Linked DNA regions of Struthio camelus. The protein of the gene in region 1 interacts with the protein of each later gene in a pairwise test. Links are inferred from orthologs where the notes say so. Each region holds a gene or a part of one and is shown in the gene's direction. Other genes may lie near its edges.

Region 1 (7,420 bases):
GGTTCCTGCGGGAGGGCGGCGTCTTCGCCACGCTGGCGGCCTCGGTGCTCAGCCTGCTGGCCATCGCCGTCGAGCGCCACGTGGCCATGGCCCGCGCGAAGCTCCGCCAGGGCGGCAAGAAGGGGCGGCTGCTGGGGCTGGTGGCGGCCAGCTGGGCGGCCTCGGGGCTGCTGGCCGCGCTGCCCGCCCTGGGCTGGAACTGCCTCGGCGACCTGCCCCGCTGCTCCACCGTCCTGCCCCTCTTCTCCAAGCGCTACGTCTCCTTCTGCGTGGCCGTCTGCCTGGCCGTCCTGCTCTGCGTCGCCGTGCTCTACGCCCGCGTCTACCGCGGCGTGCGGGCGAGCAGCCGGCGCCTGGGCGGCCCGCGCGGCTCCCGCAAGCACCTGGCGCTGCTGAGGACGGTCGCGGCCGTGGTGGGCACCTTCGTCGCCTGCTGGCTGCCCCTCTTCCTCCTGCTGCTGCTGGACGCCTGCTGCTGCCCGCCGGCCTGCGCCGTCCTCTACCAGGCCGACTACTTCCTGGGCTTGGCCATGCTCAACTCGCTGCTCAACCCCGTCGTCTACACGCTCGGCAGCCGCCAGCTGGGCCGGGCCGTGGGGCGGCTGCTGGGCTGCGGCCGGGGGGGCGCCCGGCCCGGCCCCCCCGGCCCCTTCGGCCTCCCCATCCTGGAGGGCAGCGCCAGCCGGTCGGAGCGCTCGTCCCAGCGCCCCGCCGCCGCCGGCCTCCGCCGCGGCCCCCCCGCGCCCGGCCCCCCCGCCGCCCGCCCCTGAGCACCCCCCCCTGCCTGAGCACCCCCCCCCCCGGTTTTATAGCGCCTTTGTAATAAAAAGCCTCCTCGGAGCCCCCCACCCCGGCCTCGGCCCTGGCTCTGCTGCCCCCAGGGGCTGCCAAGGGTGGGGGGGGCTGGGGCAGTGGGAGGGCCCTGGCTAGGGGGGCAGTGGGGGGTCTGGGGGGGCACAGCTGAGCAGGGGCAGTGGGGGGACCCCGGCTGGGGGGGCAGTGGGGGGTCTGGGGGGGCACAGCTGAGCAGGGGCAGTGGGGGACCCCGGCTGGGGGCAGTGGGGGGGGGCTGGGGGGCACACAGCCGAGTAGGGGAAGCAGGGGTGTTTGGGGGGGGGGCTCAGCCAAGCGGGAGTAGCGGGGGGGGGCCAGGGGTCCTCGGTGTCGTGGTGATGCCCCCCCCTCCGCCCCCCCCAGCTGGGCACCACAGCCCGGCTGCCGGGGGGGGTGCTGGGGGGGCTGGGGGCAGGCGGTGCGGGGCGGGTGGGTGTGAGCAGCACCCGCGGGTGCCGCCTGGGGCACCGGGTGCGACTGGCGGCTCTGCCCAGGCCCTGGCACCTGGGGGGGGGCCCTGGCTGCAGGGGTGGGCAGCGGGGGGGGGGGGCACGGCGAGGCATGCGGGGCTGCAGCGGAGCTGCACATCGGGGGCAAGGAGCCGCGCACGGCGCTGCACGGCGCAGAGCTGTACGGTGCTGCACGGTGCTGCACGGCGCAGAGCTGCACGGCCAGACGCACGGTGCAGAGCTGCACGGCGCTGCACGGCGCAGAGCTGCACGGCCAGCCGCACGGCGCTGCACGGCGCAGAGGTGCATGGCCAGACACACGGCGCTGCACGGTGCAGAGCTGTACGGTGCTGCACGGTGCTGCACGGTGCTGCACGGCCGGACGCATGGGGCTGCACGGCGCAGAGGTGCATGGCCAGACGCACGGCGCTGCACGGTGCAGAGCTGCACGGCCAGACGCACGGCCAGACGCACGGTGCAGAGCTGCACAGCGCTGCACGGCGCAGAGCTGCACGGCCAGACGCACGGCGCTGCACGGTGCAGAGCTGTACGGTGCTGCACGGTGCTGCACGGCCAGACGCACGGCGCTGCACGGCGCAGAGCTGCACGGTGCTGCACGGTGCTGCACGGCCAGACGCACGGCGCTGCACGGCGCAGAGGTGCATGGCCAGACGCACGGCGCTGCACGGTGCAGAGCTGTACGGTGCTGCACGGTGCTGCACGGCCAGACGCACGGCGCTGCACGGCGCAGAGGTGCATGGCCAGACGCACGGCGCTGCACGGTGCAGAGCTGTACGGTGCTGCACGGTGCTGCACGGCCAGACGCACGGCGCTGCACGGCGCAGAGGTGCATGGCCAGACGCACGGCGCTGCACGGTGCAGAGCTGTACGGTGCTGCACGGTGCTGCATGGCCAGACGCACGGCGCTGCACGGCGCAGAGCTGCATGGCCAGACGCACGGCGCTGTACGGCGCAGAGCTGCACGGCGCTGCACGGCCAGACGCACGGCGCAGAGCTGCACAGCGTTGCACGGTGCTGCACTGCATGCCGCAGTGCACGGTGCTGCACATCACAGTGCTGCACACCCAGGCGCACGTCACGTCCCTGCACACCCAGGTGCATGGTGTTGCACACCCAGGGGCGGTGCTGCACATCACGTCCCCGCACACCCAGGCGCACGGTGTTGCACACCCAGGCGCGCAGTGCTGCATGTCATGTCCCTGCACACCCAGGCGCGCGGTGTTGCACACCCAGGCGCACATCACGTCCCCGCACACCCAGGCGCACGGTGCTGCACACCCAGGCGCAGGTCACATCCCCGCACACCCAGGCGCACGGTGTTGCACACCCAGGCGCGCGGTGCTTCACGTCACGTTCCCCACACACCCAGGCGCGCAGTGCTGCACACCCAGGTGCACAGTGTTGCACGTCACGTCCCTGCACACCCAGGCGCGCGGTGCTGCACGTCACGTCCCCACACACCCAGGCGCGCGGTGCTGCACACCCAGGCGCACGTCACGTCCCCGCACACCCAGGCGCGCGGTGCTGCACGTCACGTCCCCGCACACCCAGGCGCGCGGTGCTGCACACCCAGGCGCACGTCACGTCCCTGCACACCCAGGCATGCGGTGCTGCACGTCACGTCCCCGCACACCCAGGCGCGCGGTGCTGCACACCCAGGCGCACGTCACGTCCCTGCACACCCAGGCATGCGGTGCTGCACGTCACGTCCCCACACACCCAGGCGCGCGGTGCTGCACACCCAGGCGCACGTCACGTCCCCGCACACCCAGGCATGCGGTGCTGCACGTCACGTCCCCACACACCCAGGCGCGCGGTGCTGCACGTCACGTCCCCGCACACCCAGGCGCGCAGTGCTGCACACCCAGGTGCGCAGTGTTGCACGTCACGTCCCCGCACACCCAGGCGCGCAGTGCTGCACACCCAGGCGCGCAGTGTTGCACGTCACGTCCCCGCACACCCAGGCGCGCAGTGCTGCACACCCAGGTGCGCAGTGTTGCACGTCACGTCCCCGCACACCCAGGCGCGCAGTGCTGCACACCCAGGCGCGCAGTGTTGCACGTCACGTCCCCGCACACCCAGGCGCGCGGTGCTGCACACCCAGGCGCACGTCACGTCCCTGCACACCCAGGCACGCGGTGCTGCACACCCAGGCGCACGTCACGTCCCCGCACACCCAGGCGCGCAGTGCTGCACACCCAGGCACGCGGCCCTGCATGTGGCAGCGCTGCCAGCTGGTGCCGGAGCAAAGTCCTCTCCTGCCCCACGGCGCTGCCGGGAAGGGAGGGAGCGGCGGGACGTCACCGTCACCGGGGCAGGACGTCACCGGGGCTGCCGGGTCACCAGGTCAGGGACGCCGCCGTGACCCCGGGGCCACCGTGACGGGGGGGGGGGGGGTATCACCGTGCTGGGGGAGCGGGTGACAGAAGGGTCACGTGGCGTCTCCACGCCGGGCCGGTCTCCATTCCCGGTGGTGGCAGCTACGGGGGCCCGTTCCCCCCCCCCCCCACGGGTCCCCCAATGTCCCCTCCACCCCGTCCCACCGGGGTGTCCCGGGCATCGCCCAGCCCGGTGCCCCCCGGCCCCGGGCTCACCGGCTCCCCCCGGTGCCGCCCGGTGTCCCCCCCTCCCCAACCCGGCCAGGGTCCCCTGCGCCTCCGCTCCACCGGGCCCCCCCCCGGCCCCCCCCCGGGAAACCCCCCGCGGTGCCTCCCCTCCCCGCCCCGGCCCCGGCCGGAAGCGCCGCTTCCGCCGCGCCGAACGTTGGCACCGCCGCGTTCCATCCGGCGGAGGGGCGGGGTCAGGCAGCTAGGGGGCGGGGCCAGGCGGGCCGCGGGCGTGTCCAGGCTGTTCGGGGGCGGGGCCAGGCAGCTCGGGGGCGTGTTCAGGCTGCTCGGGGGCGTGCCCAGGCGGGCCGGGGGGCGTGCCCAGGCGGGCCGGGGGGCGTGTCCAGGCGGGCCGGGGGGCGTGTCCGTCGCGGACTCTTATTGTGACGGGGGCGCCGCGCGGTGCTTAGTCACGGCCCCCCCCGCCCCCCCCCCCCCCCCGAGCGGGCCGCGCCGCCGCCGCCGCCGCCGCCAGGAGCCGCACCGGGGGCCGCGCCGCGCCGCGCCATGGCTGGGTGAGACCCCCGGCCCCCGCGAAAGGGACCCCCCCCCCCGACCCGTAGCCCCCCCCCCCAGTCCTGTGCCCCTCCCCCCCCCGCCAAGGCCGCTTTGCCCGGTATCGAGACCCCCCCCTCCGGCTCCGCCCCACCGGGATCCTCCCCCCGGGGCAGGCCCGGCCTCTCCCCCCCCCCGCCACTCCCCGGGACCCCCGGGTTGGCGGCGGCTTGTTCGGGGCGGGGGGAAAGACCGGCTCCCCCCTCCCCGCTGGCTCCGGGCGGCGCGGTGGTTTGTTTACACCGGGGGGGGGGAATCGAGCTGTGCCCCCCCGTGTAACCCCGTGGGAAAGCGGGGAACCCCCCCCAGCTGTGCCCCCCCCCGAGCTGTGCCCCCCCGTGTAACCCCGTGGGGAGGGCAGGGATGCCCCCCGAGCTGTGCCCCCCCCGAGCTGTGCCCCCCCGTGTAATCCCGTGGGGAGGGCAGGGATGCCCCCCGAGCTGTGCCCCCCCCGAGCTGTGCCCCCCCGTGTAACCCCGTGGGAAAGCGGGGAACCCCCCCCCAGCTGTGCCCCCCCCCGAGCTGTGCCCCCCCGTGTAACCCCGTGGGAGAGCGGAGAACCCCCCCGAGCTGTGCCCCCCCGTGTAACCCCGTGGGGGGGGCAGGGATGCCCCCCGAGCTGTGCCCCTCCGTGTATCCTCGTGGGGGGGCAGGGATCCCTCCCCCGAGCTGTCCCCCCCCCTTTAACCCCGTGGGGGTCGGGGATCCCCCCCGTGTAACCCCGTGGGGGGGCGGGGATCCTCCCCGAGCTGTGCCCCCCCGTGTAACCGCATGGGGGGGTGGGAATCCCCCCCCCAAGCTGTCCCCCCGTGTAACCCCGTGGGGGTCGGGGATCCCCCCCGTGTAACCCCGTGGGGGGGTGGGGATCCCCCCCCGAGCTGTCCCCACCCGTGTAACCGCATGGGGGGGTGGGAATCCCCCCCCCCCCCCCAAGCTGTCCCCCCGTGTAACCCCGTGGGGGTCGGGGATCCCCCCCGTGTAACCCCGTGGGGGGGTGGGGATCCCCCCCGAGCTGTCCCCCCCCCGTGTAACCCCGTGGGGGGGCGGGGATCCCCCCCGAGCTGTGCCCCCCTGTGTAACCGTGTGGGGGGGCAGGGATTCCCCCCCCGAGCTGTGCCCCCCCACGTAGCCTCATGAGGGGGGTTCCCCCCTTGAGCTGTGCCCCTCTGTGTAACCTTGGGTGGGGGTGGAGATCCCCCCCCCCAAATTGTGTTCCCCTCCCCGTGTTGCCTTGCGGGGGGGAACACCCCGCTCTGTGCCCAGGCCGTTCCCCCCCCCCAGGTTGTCCCCCCCCCCGGGGAAGGTTGTGCCCCCCCCCCAGGGGGGACCTGGCTCCCTGCAGCCCCCCCTTGGGAGGCCCTGTGCCCCCCCCAGCCTGTCTCCCATCACCCCGGACCCCCCCCCCAGGCCCCTTCAGGCACCCAGCCTGGCCTGCTGCCCCAACGTGGGGGGCTCAATGGGGTGTCACCAGAGCAGGGGAGGGGGGACACGCCCCCAGGTGGGAGGGGGAGGGCAGGACTCCTGGGCCCCCTTGCCCGCTCTGTGCCTCAGTTTCCCCGTGGCTGGGAGGCAGCGGGAGCCGGGGGGGGAGGTCCGGGGGACCGGGGCTCTGCTGAGGTCCCCGGGGCGAGAGGGGGGGGCGGTTTGGGGTGCTGAGCGTGGCCCTTCGCCTCCCAAGGCGCTCCTCGGGGGGCTGGGGGCGCAGCCGGGGCGGCGTTGGCGCCGCAGACGAACCTTTAGTTTTTTTTTTTGCTGACCTCATGCCGCGTAGGGGAAAACAACCCCCTTTCTGCTGACCTCATGCCTGGTTCTGGCCTCGGTTGCTGCAACCAGCGTCGCTAGTTCCTCCCGGTCGGCCCCCCGGGCGCTGCCGGTTGTTTGCGGTCAGCCAGACCCCCCGGATAAGGGGGGGGGGTCACCGCCGCCGTGTTGGGGGGCGCCTGCCCTGCTGAGCCCCCTGCCCGTCTCCCTTCCCTGCAGGTGTGAAGGAGCTGCGGTGCCGCGGGGCCCCGCGGGGCGCTCGCCGCCCTCCTAGCCCGCCCCGTCCCCGCGGCCCCCGGGGCCTGCCATGCGCCCGTGATGTACGCGCCGGAGTGCAAGGCGGAGGTGACGCCGTCCCACCACGGGAACCGCTCCTTCAGCTACACGCTGGAGGAGCACACCAAGCAGGCCTTCGGCATCATGAACCAGCTGCGCCTGAGCCGGCAGCTCTGCGACGTGACGCTGCGCGTGCGCTACCAGGACGGGCCGCCCGCCGACTTCCAGGCCCACAAGGTCGTGCTGGCCTCGTCCAGCCCCGTCTTCAAGGCCATGTTCACCACGGGGCTGCGGGAGCAGGGCATGGAGGTGGTGCCCATCGAGGGCATCCACCCGCGGGTGATGGAGCGCCTCATCGAGTTCGCCTACACGGCCTCCATCTCGGTGGGGGAGAAGTGCGTGCTGCACGTCATGAACGGGGCCGTCATGTACCAGATCGACAGCGTCGTCCGCGCCTGCTGTGACTTCCTCATCCAGCAGCTCGACCCCAGCAACGCCATCGGCATCGCCAACTTCGCCGAGCAGATCGGCTGCGCTGAGCTGCACCAGCGGGCTCGCGAGTACATCTACATGCACTTCGGCGAGGTGAGGGCGGTCAGCGGCGCGGGGGTCCCCAGGCCCCCGCTCGGCAGCCGGCGACCTGGGGATGGGTTTGTGCGCCCCGTGGGGCTCCGTGACCCCCCCCGCCAGCGCAGGAGCAGGTAGCGGGGGGGGGTCGGGGGCGACGGCGAGGATGTGGTGGCCGAGTCGCCCTCCGCGTGGCTGGAGGGGGACGCAGGGGTGAGTCGGGGGGGCGGCCCGGCTGCAGCGTGGTTTGCAGTAGGGACGGACGAGCTCCGGCGCAGGGGGGGGAAGAGCTGATCCGTGCGGCCCCCTCCTGGCCCCGCAGCCCGGGAGCCGCTCCCCGCTGGCAGGGCA
Region 2 (8,028 bases), on another chromosome or scaffold:
CATGCTGCGGCTCTTCCCCGAGTACCTGAAGGGCGAGGAGCTCTTTGGCCTCACGGTGCACGCGGTGCTGCGCATCGCCGAGTCGGTAGGTACCGGGGCCCCGCCTGGGTGCGGGGGGTCTCCAGATGTGTGGCGCACGTGCCATGGGCCAGCCCCCTTTGGAAGGGGCTGGCGGCTCTGGGGCCGGGGTGGCCCGCGGTGCTGCCGCTCGACCCACAGCCCCTCCGCTCCCTCCGCGGCAGCTGCCCGGCGTCGAGAGCTGCCAGAACTACCTGTTCCGCTACGGGCGCCACCCGCTCATGGAGCTGCCGCTGATGATCAACCCCACTGGCTGCGCCCGCTCTGAGCCCAAGATCCTCACCCACTACAAACGGTGAGCTGGGGGCCGGGGAGAGCCGGCATCGGGGGGCAGGTGAGCCCATGCTCTGCCCCGCCGCAGCTCTGACGCCCTCCCGGCCCCCTCGGCAGGCCCCACACCCTGAACAGCACAAGCATGTCCAAGGCCTACCAGAGCACATTCACGGGTGAGACCAACACGCCCTACAGCAAGCAGTTCGTGCACTCCAAGTCCTCCCAGTACCGGCGCCTGAAGACGGAGTGGAAGAACAATGTGTACCTGGCGCGGTCCCGCATCCAGGGCCTGGGGCTCTACGCGGCCAAGGACATCGAGAAGCACACCATGGTCATCGAGTACATCGGCACCATCATCCGTAACGAGGTGGCCAACCGGCGGGAGAAGATCTACGAGGAGCAGGTGGGGCACGGGGGTTTGGGCAGGGTGAGGGGGCACGCAAGGGGCTTGGGGCACCTGGTGACTCTCTCTTGCTCCCCAGAACCGCGGGATCTACATGTTCCGCATCAACAACGAGCACGTCATTGACGCCACGCTGACGGGGGGGCCAGCCAGGTGAGAGCAGGGCCAAGCCGCGGTGGCACCCTGGGAGGGAGCAGGGTGACTGTTCGCCTGCGTTTCGCTCTGTCTGTCCCACCTCACCTTTGAGCTGGAGCTGCGACCCAGGTGTCCTGCCCCGCCGTCTTGCCGGGTCGCGCCGGCCTCGGCCCTGACGCTCTGTCCCCCGCCAGGTACATCAACCACTCGTGCGCCCCGAACTGCGTGGCCGAAGTCGTGACCTTCGACAAGGAGGACAAGATCATCATCATCTCCAGCCGGCGCATCCCCAAGGGGGAGGAGGTCAGGCCGGGGCACGGGGCAGTGGAGGGGGCGGACACCGGCTCCGGGGGAGGCTCAGGGCAGCGGGGGGTGTGTGTGGGGGGGCTGCGCGGCAGCGGGGCGGGCGCCGTGCCGTGCGTGACTCCCCGCTCCCCCCCAGCTCACCTACGACTACCAGTTCGACTTTGAGGACGATCAGCACAAGATCCCCTGCCACTGCGGAGCCTGGAACTGCCGAAAGTGGATGAACTAACTGGGAAAAGGGGCTGGGGGGGGGAAGGGGCAGCAGCGCCCGCCTCGGAGACCTCGCCGAGAGACACCGGCTCCCCGGGGCCCTCCCGGCCCTCCGCCGCGCCGCGGGGGCCGCGGGAGGTGCCCGGGCAGGGCTGCGGCCGGGGCGCGGAGGCTCCGGCGGGGAGGGCGGCCGCCGCGAAGCCGCTCGGCCCTGCCTGAGCGGGACGGACGAACTGGCAACTCAGGGTTTTCTTTGCTTCGTCCTGCGAGGAGGGGGGGGGGGCCCTGCGTGACCCCCCCCCCAACCCGCCTCCTTGGCGGGGGAGCCCCGGGGGGAGCAGAGCGGCCCCAGCGGAGCCGGTGCCAGAGCCGGGGGGCGAGTTCGGAGCCGGCCTGGATTTTTAGAAACGAAAACTAATAATATTTGCTCGCTAATTACCAAGGTAACACAGACTCCTTGAGCTCGACAATCCGGGCTCTGCCCCGTCCGCGCCCGCGCGGCGGCCAGAGCTCGCTCGGTTCCTTTGATCTCTTTTTGTTTGTGCGTGTCGACGAGAGCCCCGGGAGCGCGTGGAGGCGGCGCGGCCTGCGGAGCGGAGCTGGGAGGAGGCGCGTGCGGCAAGGGCCCCCGACAAGACACAAGGAGCTTCTGCACCCAAACCTACCTCATTTTAAGTGTTAGATTTTTTGTTGTTGTTGTTGTTGTTGTTGTTTTTAAATGTGAGCCCTGCACCCACCCGGCCCTGGGCCGCGGCAGAGCCTCTCGCGGGAGCCGTCCCCAAGGGCCCTTTCCCTCTTCCTCGGGCTGCCCCGGGGGACGCAGCATCTCTCGTCCCCTGTCCCCTCCCGTGGATGTGGCTGCAGAAAGCCCCTGGCGGGGGTCCCCAGGGAAGGGGACGCGGGGGAACCCCTTGCCCTCGTCCCCTGCCCCGGGCAGCGGCTCAGCCCAGGGAGGCCCCGGCTGCGCGACGTGCCAAGGTTCGGGGAGGGGGGGGCCAGGGGGCACATGGGACCCGCTCCCCAGCCCCCCCAGACCCCGAGCCGGGGGGCAGGCACAGCCGCGTGGGGCCAGGGCCTCACCGCACGGGGGCCGCCCCACTCGTCTCCAGCGCCCGCTGCTCCGGGCTGCCGGAGGCTGCGCGCGTCCGATGTCGGCACGGGGTGGGGGGGGGAGGTTATTTATCTATTTATACCTTATATTGTATATACTAGACTGGGGGGGGAGGGGGGCTCTTTGTGCTCTGCTGGGCTGAGATTCGGGGTGCGGGGGCAAGGGGGGGGGCTGTGGCATTTTTAAAACCCAATCTCCGAGGGGTGGCTGGGAGCCTCCTGCCAGGCAGGGGCGGCCTCGGAGAGCGAAGCAGCGAGTGGGCATTACGCACCGGGTCCCCCCCACCATGCCGGCCGCGGCGGCCCTGCGGGGACGCCGACGGGGCGAGGGGGGGGTGGCCACACGGCTCCGGGGTTGGGGGGGAGCCGGGATCTCTTTAACGCACAAACGCACGGCGCGGGGGGGGACCCTCGCGCCCGTTTCCCGTCGCCGCCGGGGCTGGCGGGAGGAGCTGAGGCGAGCGTCGAGGTGGGGCCGGCGGGTTTGCCCGGCGTCGGCGGGTCCGGGCACCCCAGGGCCGGGGCGTTCTTGAAAGCTGCTTCCGCAAACTCGTCAAAGCTGCAAAAAGGTTTAAGGTAAAAATGTTTAAAAAAAAAAAAAAAATTTGGGGGTGGGGGATGAGAAAGTTTTAAAAAAAAAAATATACGAAAAACTTTAACTTTCAGAGCTGTAAATAGCCCGGGGGCGTGTAGAAAACCCGTTTTTACCAATACCGAAACCACTGGATGTTATTTTAAAATAAAGCGCGTGAGAAGCCAGTCTGACTCTCCGCTCGCTCGCGTCTCTCCCCGCTGGGAAGGTGTAAAGGGAGACAGCGGCTCCAAGCCCTCGGGCTGGGGAGGGGGCCGCACCTCGCGGCTGGCGGTGTCGGTGGCGAGCTGGGCTGGGACGGCTGCCTGCAGCACCCCGGCTCGCGGACGTTTTCCCTTTGACAGTCCCCAGTAACTGTTCAGTGTTCTGGGTTTTTGGTTTTTTTTGTTTAATAAAGCTTAAACCAAAGGGCCCCACTGCGTTACCCGAGGAGCTGCCCCAGCTCCACGGCACCCAGGGCCACCCCAGACCCCCTTGGCACGGGGTGACGCAGCCTTGGGGGGGCGGGTACCGTCCCCTGGGGCTGGGGGCAGGGACTGAAGTCCTGCTGGGGACCCCTGAGCGTCCCCCCCAAGTCTGGGGGACCCTTATGTGTCCCCCCAGGCTGAGGCTCCCTGTATTGTCCCCCTCATCCCCCTAAGGGACCCTAGGTGCTCCCCATGCCCCCTCAGGCCCCAGAGCACCCTTGGGTGCCCCTATAGCCCCCCCAGACACCTCTAGGTGCCCCCCTATGCCTCTTCCACAGCCCCGTGGCCCCCTAGGAGCCCCCTGAGACACCCTAGATGCCTCCCCTGCACCTCCCAGACCTCCTCCAGGACCCTGTTGCCCCCAAGGAGCTCCCCTAGACAGACCTGGGTGTCCCCCCAGACCCCATAGCCCCCCCAGACACCCCTGGGGGACCCCAGAACCCCCCTGTGGCCCCCTAGGAGCCCCTCAGGACCCTCCTGGATTCCAGGACCCCCCATGGCTCCCCTGTGGCCCCCCCCCAGGACGCTCCTGACCCCCCTTGGCTCCCCTGTGGCCCCGTAGGAGCCCCCTAGGACCCCAAGACTCCCTTTGCCCCCCCTTGCCTCCCAGGATCCCCCTAGACCCCCCATGGCTCCCCTGTGACCCCCTAGAGCCCCCCTGGCTCCCCATGACCCCCTAGGAGCCCTCCAGGACCCCCCTTGCCCCCCCTGGGGCCCCCCAGAACCCCTCCAGACCCCCCTGGCTCCCCTGTGGTTCCCTAGGAGCTCCCCAGGACCCTCCCTAGACCCCAAACCCCCCCGTGGCCCCTCAGGATCCCCCCAGACCCCCCTTGGCTCCCCTATGGCCCCGTAGGAGCTCCCTAGGACCCCAAGACCCCCCCATGCCCTCCGTGGCCCCCCAGGATCCCCCTCGACCCCCCATGGCTCCCCTGTGACCCCCTAGAGCCCCCCCAGACCCCTCCCGGCTCCCCTGGGACCCCTTAGGAGCCCTCCAAGACCCCAAGACCCCTTTGCCCCCCAGGATCCCCCTAGACTCCCCCTGGCTCCCCTGTGACCCCCTAGAGCCCCCCCCAGACCCCCCCTGGCTCCCCTGGGACCCCTTAGGAGCCCTCCAGGACCCCAAGACCCCCTTTGCCCTCCAGGATCCCCCTAGACCCCCCATAACTCCCTTGTGACCCCCCCTAGAGCCCCCAGACCCCCCCCGGCTCCCCTGGGACCCCTTAGGAGCCCTCCAGGACCCTCCCTAGACCCCAGAACCCCCCCATGGCCCCTCTGTGGCCTCCCTAGAAGCCCGCAGGACCCTCCCCCGGGTCCCATAGCCCCCCCAGGACCCCCCGGTTCTCCCCCCCCCCCAACCCCGGCGGTGACCCGGCGGGAGGTGAAAGGTCGCCGCGCGGTCGAGGGTCACGCGGGCCGCGCGCTTCCGGTCACGTGGCCGGTGCTGGCGGAAGTGGCGGGCTGGCGCCGGGCGGAAGTGGGGCGGCGGCGGCGGCGGGGCGGGCCGGGGGCCATGGAGGTGGGGGCCGCCGTACCGGGCACCGGGTCGGGGGGGTGGGGGCGGGATGTGGAGGTGGGGGGGGTATCGGGGCCGCGCTCCGCTGCGCTCCGGCCCGACCTGCCCCGTGTCTGTCCGCAGGGTCCCGGTCCGGCCGCGGAGAGCCCGGCGGAGCAGGGCCCGGCGGCGCCGGAGGGTGAGGCCGGGGGCGTCCCGCGGCCGGGGGGGGGGCCTCTCCGGGCTGGGGGCGTCCCGGGGACCCGGGTTTGGGGTGTCCCGGGGGTGGGGGTGTCCTGGGGTCCGGAGTTGGGGTGTCCTGGGAGTTGGGGTGTCCTGGGGGCTGGGGTGTCCCGGGGGTGGGGGTGTCCTGGGGTCCGGAGTTGGGGTGTCCTGGGAGTTGGGGTGTCCTGGGGGTTGGGGTGTCCCGGGGTGGGGGTGTCCTGGGGGCTGGGGTGTCCTGGGGTCCTGAGTTGGGGTGTCCTGGGAGTTGGGGTGTCCCGGGGGTTGGGGTGTCCTGGTAGTTGGGGTGTCCTGGGGGCTGGGGTGTCCCGGGGGTGGGAGTGTCCTGGGGTCCTGAGTTGGGGTGTCCTGGGAGTTGGGGTGTCCCGGGGGTTGGGGTGTCCTGGTAGTTGGGGCGTCCTGGGGGCTGGGGTGTCCTGGGGTCCTGAGTTGGGGTGTCCTGGGAGTTGGGGTGTCCTGGGGGCTGGGGTGTCCTGAGGTCCTGAGTTGGGGTGTCCTGGGAGTTGGGGTGTCCTGGGGGGCTGGAGTGTCCTGGGGCCCTGGATTGGGGTGTCTTGGGGGTTGGGATGTCCTAGGACCCAAGTTGGAGATGTCCCATGGTTTGGGGTATTCCAGGTCCCGGGGGTTGGGGCGTCCCTGGGTTTGGGATGTCCTAGGACCCTAGTTGGAGATGTCCCATGGTTTGGAGTGTCCCAGGTCCATGGGGTGTCCCAGGTCCTGGGGTTTGGGGTATCCCACAGTTTGGGGTGTCCCAGGGACCCAGGGTGGATATCCAATGGCTTGGGGTGTCCAATGGCTTGGGGAGGTGCCCCTTAGATCAGGATGTGTCTAGGCTTTGGAGCAGGCTTTGAGGTGTCCTGGGTTTGTGGTGTCCTAGGATTGTGGTTTGGGGTGTCCTATGGTTGGGGTTGTCCAGAGGTTTGGGGTGTCCTGGGGCCCTCGGCTGGGCGTCCCAGGGACTGGGGGGTGTCCCGTAGGTTGAGGGCTCTTAGGGTTTGGGGCGTCTCCTCTCCGATGACATGTATTGGGGACACTATGACCCCTCATGCCACCTGTCCCCCAGAGGAGTCCCACAGCGGCGTCTACAGCTGTTTCATGAAGTCCCACTGCTGCTATGACCTGATCCCCACCAGCTCCAAGCTGGTCGTCTTCGACACCTCCCTGCAGGTGGGCCAGGGCCACGGGGTGGACCTCGGGCTGTCGTCCTCCCGCCCCAAAGACTTTGCCACCTTCACCAGGTGGAGGGACCTGGGTGGTCCCGAGGACCCCACTCCCCCGCCGGGCGCCTCGTCCCTCTCCTGATGTCCTTCTGCATCCCTGGCTGCAGGTGAAGAAGGCTTTCTTCGCGCTGGTCACCAATGGCGTGCGGGCTGCCCCGCTGTGGGACAGCAAGAAGCAAAGCTTTGTGGGTGAGCGAGCGGGGCAGCGTGGGGTAGGTGGGCTGCGGGCAGGGCCATGCTGCTCACCCCGCTCCCCCCCGCAGGGATGCTGACCATCACCGACTTCATCAACATCCTGCACCGCTACTACAAGTCCCCGATGGTGAGGAGAGGGGCAGGGGTGGGGGTCCCATAGGGCTCGCTGCCCGGCTCTGCTCCGGTCTCTGTCCACCTCGTGCGTGCCTGCGATGGCTGCAATTAACTCCTGTTTTTCTACACGTGCCTAGGTGCAGATCTACGAGCTGGAGGAGCATAAAATAGAGACGTGGAGAGGTAAGAGGGACCATCGTCAGCCCCCCACCCCCCGAGACTGGCCCGGAGCCCCCCGGCTCTGCACCCTGCATGCCCACAGTGCTGCTCGCGTCCTCAGTGTCTCCTCTCCCTGCAGAGGTCTACTTACAAGACTCCTTCAAGCCGCTGGTCTGCATTTCCCCCAACGCCAGGTACCCGCAGTCCTGCTGGGCGGGAGGGAGCATGACTGGCAGCGTCAGTGCCCCCATGCTGCTTGGCAAAAAGAGTTTTGTGGCTGCTGCTGCCTAGGAGCTTCCCCTGGGCCCCTGCTCTCTCCCTGCCCAGCTTGGGCTCCTCTCGCACCGGGGCGCAGCAGTCTCCCCATCCTGCCCTTATCTTCCCTGCATCCTCCCTGGCACAGACCTGTCCAGCACCACCGTGGTGCAAGGATGGGGCCCTGGCAAGCACTGATTCCTCTCTATCCCCTCCTTTTGTCCCACAGTCTCTTCGACGCTGTCTCATCCCTGATCCGGAATAAGATCCACCGCTTGCCAGTCATCGACCCTGACTCGGGCAACACGCTCTACATTCTCACCCACAAACGCATCCTCAAGTTCCTCAAGCTCTTTGTAAGTCCCGTCTCCCCCTGCGTGCTGCGGTAGCAGGAGACGAGCCAGCCCTGGGCGGTGCCAGGTAGAGCGGTCTCCAGGGTGCTGGGGTGGGCACAGCCTCGGCGCTTTGTGCGTCGCCCTGCCGTGGGTGCTGGGGGGCTGAGCCTGTGGGACCGTGCCGCCCGTCTCCGCTGCCCCACCTGTGCCAACGCTAGGACTCCTCCGCCCTGGGGTCCTGCCAGGCCCCGCTCCGCACCCATCGCTCTTTACTTTCACTCCTAGGACCGGGCCCCTGGCCTCCCTCGAGCCGCGTCAGCCCGGGGCAGCTGGAGCCGGCGGCGCCGTGGGGCCCGGGGAGTGCCAGGCCGAGCCAGCGTCAGCACTGTCCCCCTCCCCGTCCCCTGCAGATCACGGAGGTCCCAAAGCCTCAGTTTATGG
Region 3 (6,949 bases), on another chromosome or scaffold:
TGGGCCCCTCCCCGGACGCCTGGGCCCCGCTGCCGGACGCCGGGGCCCCTCCGGACGAAGAGGCGCTGCCGGACGCCTGGGCCCCCCCCGAGGAGCCGACGAGCCCGGACGCCTGGGCCCCCCCCGAGGAGCCGACGAGCCCGGACGCCGGGGCCCCCCCCGAGGAGCCGACGGGCCCGGACGCCTGGGCCCCCCCCGAGGAGCCGACGGGCCCGGACGCCGGGGCCCCGCGCCAGCCGCCCGCTTTCCGCCTGCCCGGGAGCCCCCTGGACGCCCAGGCGCTGCCCGACGGCTCCTTCCTGCTGTGGGCGGGGGCTGCCCAGCCCCGCCTCTGGCGCCTGGTGAGGGCCCTGGCGTCCGGGGGGGGCCCAGGCGTCCGGGAGAAGGGGCCCAGGAGTCCGGGGGGGGGCAGGAGTCCGGGTGGGGGGCCCAGGCGTCCGGGGAGGGGCCCAGGTGTCTGGGAGAAGGGCCCAAGTATCCTGGGAGGGGCCCAGGCGTCCGGGTGGGTGGGGAGGGGAGGGGCCCAGGCGTCCGGGAAGGGGACCCAGGCGTCCAGGAGGGACCCAGGCGTCCGGGGCAGGGGCCCAGGCGTCCGGGGAAGGGGCCCAGGTGTCCGGGAAGGGGCCCAGGTGTCCGGGGAAGGGACCCAGGCGTCCAGGAAGGGGGCCCAGGTGTCCGGGGAAGGGCCCAGGTGTCCAGGGAAGGGGCCCAGGCGTCCGGGAAGGGGCCCAGGTGTCCGGGGAAGGGGCCCAGGTGTCCGGGGAGGGGCCCAGGTGTCCGGGGCAGGGGCCCAGGTGTCCGGGGAAGGGCCCAGGTGTCTGGGAGGCCCCGCGTGACGTGCCGTGCCGGCCGGTGGCAGGTGCCGGGGGGGCGGGGCTGGCAGGCCCAGGACGCCGGGGCCCCCGCCGCCCCCCCGCAGCCCCTCGGCCCCTCGCAGTGGTTCAACGGCGGCTGCTTCCTGCCTGGTGAGCGGTTTGGGGTGAAAAATGGTGGTTTTGGGGGCGGCCGGGTCTGGGGGCTGCGTTTGGGGTGAAAAGGGGGGATTTTGGGGGTTCTAGGGGCTGTTTTTGGGGTGAAAAAGGGAGATTTTGGGTTTCTGGGGGCTGGTTTTGGGGTGAAAAGGGCATTTTGGGGCACTGGGGCTGGTTTTGGGGTGAAAAGGGGGGATTTTGGGGCGCTGGGGCTGGTTTGGGGGGGGTCCGGGGTGGTTTCGGGGAGGCCTGACGCCGCCGCCCAGGTGAGGGGCTCTTCCTGGGCCGCTCCGATGGCACCTTGTGGGCGACCCGGGGCCGGGGCGACAGCAGGGCCTGGAGCTGCCGCAAGGTGGGTGACCACGGAGGGGCCCAGGCGTCCGGGGAAGGGGCCCAGGCGTCCGGGGAAGGGGCCCAGGCGTCCGGGGAGGGGCCCAGGTGTCTGGGAAGGGGCCCAGGTGTTCGGGAAGGGGCCCAGGCGTCCGGGGAGGGGCCCCGGCGTTCGGGGGGGCGCCCAGGTGTCCGAGGAAGGGGCCCGGGTGTCCGGGATGAGGGGCCCAGGTGTCCGGGGAGGGGCCCAGGCGTCCGGGATGAGGGGCCCAGGCGTCCGGGGAAGGGGCCCAGGCGTCCGGGTCGGGGCCCAGGCGTCCGGGGAAGGGGCCCAGGCGTCCGGGGAGGGGCCCAGGTGTCTGGGAAGGGGCCCAGGTGTTCGGGATGAGGGGCCCAGGTGTCCGGGAAGGGGCCCAGGCGTTCGGGGGGGCGCCCAGGTGTCCGGGGAGGGGCCCAGGTGTCGGGGGAGGGGCCCAGGTGTCCGGGGAGGGGCCCAGGTGTCCGGGGAGGGGCCCAGGCGTCCGGGCGAGGGACCCAGGCGTCCGGGCGGCAGGCGCACGGCGGCGCGGTCACGGCCGTGGCCGCCCTGGACGGGACGACGCTGGTGACGGCCGGGGCCGACGGCCGGGCCCGGCTCTGGCGCCCTTCCGGGGGCTCTCCGGTGAGTGCGGGGGGGGGGGTTACAGGAGGGGCGGGGCTAGCGGTGGGCGTGGCCCGCTGACGCCCCGCCCCCCCCGGCAGCTGGCCCACTTCGCCTGCGCCGCCCCCGTGACCTGCGCCGAGGTCCGGCCCGGCCCCGAACCCGGCCTGGCCCTGGGCGACGCCGGCGGCCGCGTCTACTTCCTCCGCTGGGCCACGCCCCCTTCTGCTGGCCACGCCCCTTCTGCTGGCCACGCCCCCCGGACGGCGGAGGCCCCGCCCCCCGGCCCCTCCTAGCGCTCTGCAAGCCAGCTGCTGCCTGCCCTGCGGGGGGGCGTGGCCTGCGCTAAGGGGCGGGGCCTGCCGCCGAGGGGTGGTCGCTCCCCCCTGCGGCAGGCCACGCCCCCTCTTCTGCACCCCTCCCCCAGTGGAATAAAGTTGCCCCTCCCCTGCCGTCTCTGTGTGTTGATTGGAGGGGGTGCCCAGGGGCCCCGCCCACCAGCAAGCCCCGCCCACCACCCCCTAACAGGAGGTTTTGGCCCCTTAAGGCCCCCCCGTTGCGACGGTAGCGCTTGGCCCCGCCCCCCTCCGCCCGCCCCCGCCAATCGCAGCGCTCCGCTGCCGGCAAGCCCCGCCCCCGCCCCGCCCCCCGCCGCCCAGCCGGCCTGCGGGTCTGTTTGCATAACCCCGCCCACCTCCGCGCTGATTGGTCCGCCGCGCTGCCCGTCGCGCGGCTCGTCCCTCCCACCCCGGCAGCCCCCCCGCGGTGGGGAGGAGCGAGCGAGGCGGGCGGCGGCCCAATGAGCGGGCGCGGGGCGGGTGACGTCACGCGGGCTCGGCCGCCTGCCGTTCATTCGGCGCCGCGGCGGCGGCGGGGAAGGAGCTGCGGGAGCTGCGGCGCAGGTAACGCTGCCCCCCCCCCCCCCTTTCCCACAGCACCGAGGCGACCCGCGTTCCCCCCGCCGCCGCGAGCCGTGGGCGGCGGGGTTTGGCGGCGTCGCAGAGCACAACGGCGGCTTTTTTCCTTCACTCTCCCGGCCGCGGCCCGGTGCGGCCGCTCGCGGGTGGCCGGCGGCGAATTTTGCGGGGTCGCACAATTAGACGGCGGCGGCGGGCGAGGGCCGTTCGCTACCGCCGCCATCGCTCTCTCTTCTTCCTGCCTTCTCCTCAGGTGCGGCGGGGGCGGCGGCGTTGTGCTCCGAGGCGGAACCACCTTCCCGAGCGGCCGCGGGGAGGGCGGGAAAGCCCCGCGCCTTGTGTGTTTTAATAAAATCCTCTATTTTCTTTTTTTTGTTGTTGTTTTTTAACGAGTTTTTTTCGTCGCCTTTCAGCCGCTTTTCCTCCTGCTTCTCTTCCCCTCCCCCCCCCCTCCCCCGCCTCCATGATGGTTCGTCCCGCTTCGCCTCATGGTTGGGGCGGGAAAAGGCGTTGGGGGCGGCGCATGCGCAGTGGGCGGGAAAGGCCGTTGAGGGCTGGGGTTGCCCGGAGGCGGGGGGGGCGGCGCATGCGCGGAGGGCAGGAAGTGGCGCTTAAGGGGCGGGGCGCGCCCTGAGGGCGGCAAGCAGCGCATGCGCCGTGGGTGGCAGCGGTCTTTAGGGGCGGGGCGCGCCCTGAGGGCGGCAAGCGGCGCATGCGCCCTGGGTGGCAGCGGTCTTTAGGGGCGGGGCGCGTCCTGAGGGCGGCAAGCGGCGCATGCGCGGTGGCCAGCAGCGGTTTCTAGATGCGGGGCGCGCCCTGAGGGCGGCAAGCTGCGCATGCGCCGTGGGAGGGACCGACCCTTGAGGGGGCGGGGAGCGCCCTGAGGGCGGCAAGCAGCGCATGCGCGGTGGCCAGCAGCGGTTTCTAGAGGCGGGGCGCGCCCTGAGGGCGGCAAGCGGCGCATGCGCCGTGGGAGGGACCGACCCTTGAGGGGGCGGGGCGCGCCCTGAGGGCGGCAAGCGGCGCATGCGCCGTGGGTGGGACCGGCCCTTGAGGGGGCGGGGAGCGCCCTGAGGGCGGGAAGCGGCGCATGCGCGGTGGCCGGCAGCGGTCTCTAGGGGCGGGGCGCGCCCTGAGGGCGGGAAGCGGCGCGGGCGGCGCATGCGCAGTAGCGGCCCTCGCTTTCCCGCCCTTTTTGCCGTGAGGGGAGAAGCGCGCCTCCCTTCCCTCCCGCGAAGGGCGGCGAGGAGGCGGCAGCGCCTCCGCCGTCCCTCCCGCCGCCTTGGGTGCTTCTCCCTCTGCGCCCAGGTAGGGTGGCCGCCTCGAGCCCCGCGGTGGCTGTGGGGAGCCCCATGGCGGTCGCGCTTTCCCTGCCCGTGTCAGCCCGGGGTAGCTGTTCGGAGCCCCACGGCGGCCACCTTGAGCCTCCCCATCGCTCACGCTTTCCCTGTCCGTCCCACCCCATGGTGACCACCTGTAGCCACCCCATCATGAGCCACCCTCACGCTTTCCCTTCCCGTCTTGCCCCATGGCAACTCCTTTGAGCCCCACGGCAGCCACCTTGAACCCCCCATCACTCACAGTTTCCTTGCCTGTCTTGCCCACGGCGGCCGCCTTGAGCCCCCCCATTGCTCAGGCTTTCCCTGCCTGTCTCGCCCCACGGCGGCCGCCTGTAGCCCCCCATCGCTCGCACCTCCCCTGCCCGTCCCACCCCTCGGCAGCTGCTTTGAGCCCCTCATTGGTTGCACTTTCCCTGCCCATCTCTCCCCACAGCAGCCGCCTCGAGCCCCTCTCCATCGGTCCCTCTTCCCCCGTAGCGCGGCCGCCTCGGGGCGGAGGGGAGATCCGCTCGCCCGGCGCGTCGGTCAAGCAGTGGCGGGGTAGGGGGGACGGCGGGAAAACCCGCGTGGCGCCGGGCTTCCCCGCTTGGCGTAAGTCCGGCGGCGGCCGGCAGCACCCCGCGCCGCCTTTGCAGCCCGCCGCCCGGCCCATGGCGGTGTGCGAGGACCTGCTGCTGTGCAACTACCGCAAGTGCCGGGCGAAGCTGGCGGGTTACGCCTGGGTGACGGCCTGCTCGCACATCTTCTGCGACCCGCACGGCAGCGGGGAGTTCAGCCGCTCGCCGGCCGTGTGCCCGGCTTGCGGCAGCGCCCTCTCGGGCAAGCTGGACATCGTGCGCACCGAGCTGAGCCCCTCCGAGGAGTACAAAGCCATGGTGTTGGCCGGCCTCCGGCCCGAGGTGGTGCTGGACATCAGCTCGCGCGCGTTGGCCTTCTGGACCTACCAGGTGAGCGGCCGCCTCCCCCCTGCCCGCGGCGGCGGCCGCCCCCTCGCCCGCCTCCGCTGCCCGCCGCCCTCTGGCTCCAGGTGCACCAGGAGCGCCTCTACCAGGAGTACGCCTTCAGCCAGGCCGAGGGCCGGCTGCGGCAGGCGGAGCGGGCCTGCGCCCAGCGCCTGCAGGGCAAGGAGGCGGAGGTGGCGGCCGTCAAGAGCGAGGTGGCCTCGCTGAAGCGGGTGCTGGAGGAGTACAAGGGCAAGTTCACGGCGCTCTCCGAGCGCCTCATGGAGCGCAACCGCCAGTACCAGAAGCTGCAGGGCCTCTACGACGGGCTGCGCCTGCGCAACATGGCCGCCGCCGGCCGCGACTTGCCCGCCTCGGCCTCGCTGACGGGTAAGGCGCCGCCGCTGCTGCGGGCAAGGCGGAAGGATGGCCGCGGCGGCGGGGGAAGATGGCTGCCGTGGGGAGGGCGACATGGCCGCCACGGGGAGGGGGAGGCGGCTGTGGCGGGGAAGGTGATCGGCGCCACGGGGAAGGGACAAGATGGCCGCCGCTGTGGGGAAGGGGCAAGATGGCTGCCGCCGTGGGGAACGGCGCGATATGGTTGTGGTGGGGGAGGCGGCGGCCGCCGTGGCGGTGGGTAAGATGGTGGCTGCCATGGAGGGGTGTTATATGGGCGTGGTAGGCAAGATGGCAGCCACCATGGTGGTGGGTAAGATGGCGACCGCTATGGTGGTGAGTAAGATGGTGGCCGCCATGGTGTTGGGTAAGATGGTGGCTGCCATGGAGGGGTGTTTTATGGGCGTGGTAGGCAAGATGGCGGCCACCGTGGTGGTGGGTAAGATGGCGACCGCTATGGTGGTAAGATGGTGGCTGCCATGGTGTTGGGTAAGATGGTGGCTGCCATGGAGGGGTGTTATATGGGCGTGGTAGGCAAGATGGCAGCCACCGTGGTGGTGGGTAAGATGGCGGCCCCCATGGTGGCGAGTAAGATGGTGGCCCCCATGGGGGAGAGGCTTAGATGGGCATAGTAGGTAAGATGGCAGCTGCCATGGCGCTGGGTAAGATGGCGGCCCCCATGGTGGTGGGGAAGATGGTGGCTGCCATGGGGCACGGTGCAATCTGGTTGTGGTGGGGGCGATGGCGGCTGCCATGGTGGTGGGTAAGATGGCTGCCGTGGGTAAGACAGTGGCCACCATGGTGGGGGGGGGGTTAGATGGCCACGCTAGGTAAGATGGCGGCTGCCATGGCAGTGGGCAAGATGGCGGCCGCCATGAGGGAGGGGTAAGATGGTGGCCGCCATGGGCTGTAGGCAGGATGGCAATGGTGGGTAAGATGATCACTGCTGTGGGGGGTTAAGATGGCAGCTGCTCCGGCGGTGGGCAAGATGGCAGCCACCATTGAGAGGGGGTACAATGGTGGCTGCCATGGCAGTGGGCAAGATGGTGGTCTCCATGAGGGTGGGCAAGATGGCCACAATGGGAAAGATGGCTGCAGTGGGCAAAATGGCGGCCACCATTGGGAGGGGGTACGATGGCGGCCGCCATGGGGATGGGCAAGATGGCGACTACAGGGAAGGGGCGCTATGGCGGCCGCCATGGCGGTGGGCAAGATGGCGGCCGCCATGGCGGTGGGCAAGATGGCGGCCTCCGTGGGGCTGGGGCGCTATGGCGGCCGCCATGGCGGTGAGCAAGACGGCGGCCGGTGACGTCCCCTTCCCCCCCCCCCCGCAGGTGCGGTTGCCGTGGCGACGCCGCCGGGCGCCTTCGGGCCCCTCTTCGGGGCCTCCCCTCCCCCCGCGGCGGGCGGCAGC

Evidence for each region.
Region 2: the proteins of KEAP1 (region 1) and PRKAG1 interact in binary tests that used the Homo sapiens proteins (3 or more experiments, as listed by UniProt). The two-hybrid records come from large-scale screens. The link is inferred for Struthio camelus from reciprocal best matches to the Homo sapiens genes KEAP1 and PRKAG1.
Region 3: the proteins of KEAP1 (region 1) and CCNB1IP1 interact in binary tests that used the Homo sapiens proteins (3 or more experiments, as listed by UniProt). The two-hybrid records come from large-scale screens. The link is inferred for Struthio camelus from reciprocal best matches to the Homo sapiens genes KEAP1 and CCNB1IP1.

What each region holds. Positions count from the first base shown.
Region 1 is NC_090972.1:4,828,268-4,835,687, forward strand, and holds the start of KEAP1 (kelch-like ECH-associated protein 1), read left to right. Parts: upstream 1-4,361; 5' UTR 4,362-4,425; intron 4,426-6,445; 5' UTR 6,446-6,544; coding exon 6,545-7,087; intron 7,088-7,420. Other genes in the region: S1PR5 (sphingosine 1-phosphate receptor 5), read left to right, coding at 1-770. UniProt on the Homo sapiens protein: Substrate-specific adapter of a BCR (BTB-CUL3-RBX1) E3 ubiquitin ligase complex that regulates the response to oxidative stress by targeting NFE2L2/NRF2 for ubiquitination.
Region 2 is NC_090969.1:971,099-979,126, forward strand, and holds the start of PRKAG1 (5'-AMP-activated protein kinase subunit gamma-1), read left to right. Parts: upstream 1-5,011; 5' UTR 5,012-5,084; coding exon 5,085-5,090; intron 5,091-5,210; coding exon 5,211-5,265; intron 5,266-6,372; coding exon 6,373-6,476; intron 6,477-6,636; coding exon 6,637-6,718; intron 6,719-6,792; coding exon 6,793-6,851; intron 6,852-6,975; coding exon 6,976-7,021; intron 7,022-7,136; coding exon 7,137-7,191; intron 7,192-7,481; coding exon 7,482-7,608; intron 7,609-7,872; exon of another isoform or gene 7,873-7,997; coding exon 7,998-8,028. Other genes in the region: KMT2D (histone-lysine N-methyltransferase 2D), read left to right, coding at 1-85, 243-373, 469-754, 834-907, 1,084-1,192, 1,332-1,424. UniProt on the Homo sapiens protein: AMP/ATP-binding subunit of AMP-activated protein kinase (AMPK), an energy sensor protein kinase that plays a key role in regulating cellular energy metabolism.
Region 3 is NC_090970.1:770,336-777,284, reverse strand, and holds the start of CCNB1IP1 (E3 ubiquitin-protein ligase CCNB1IP1), read left to right. Parts: upstream 1-3,932; 5' UTR 3,933-4,019; coding exon 4,020-4,166; intron 4,167-4,833; coding exon 4,834-5,145; intron 5,146-5,225; coding exon 5,226-5,529; intron 5,530-6,869; coding exon 6,870-6,949. Other genes in the region: TEP1 (telomerase protein component 1), read left to right, coding at 1-341, 860-965, 1,238-1,323, 1,855-1,962, 2,043-2,237. UniProt on the Homo sapiens protein: Ubiquitin E3 ligase that acts as a limiting factor for crossing-over during meiosis: required during zygonema to limit the colocalization of RNF212 with MutS-gamma-associated recombination sites and thereby establish early differentiation of crossover and non-crossover sites.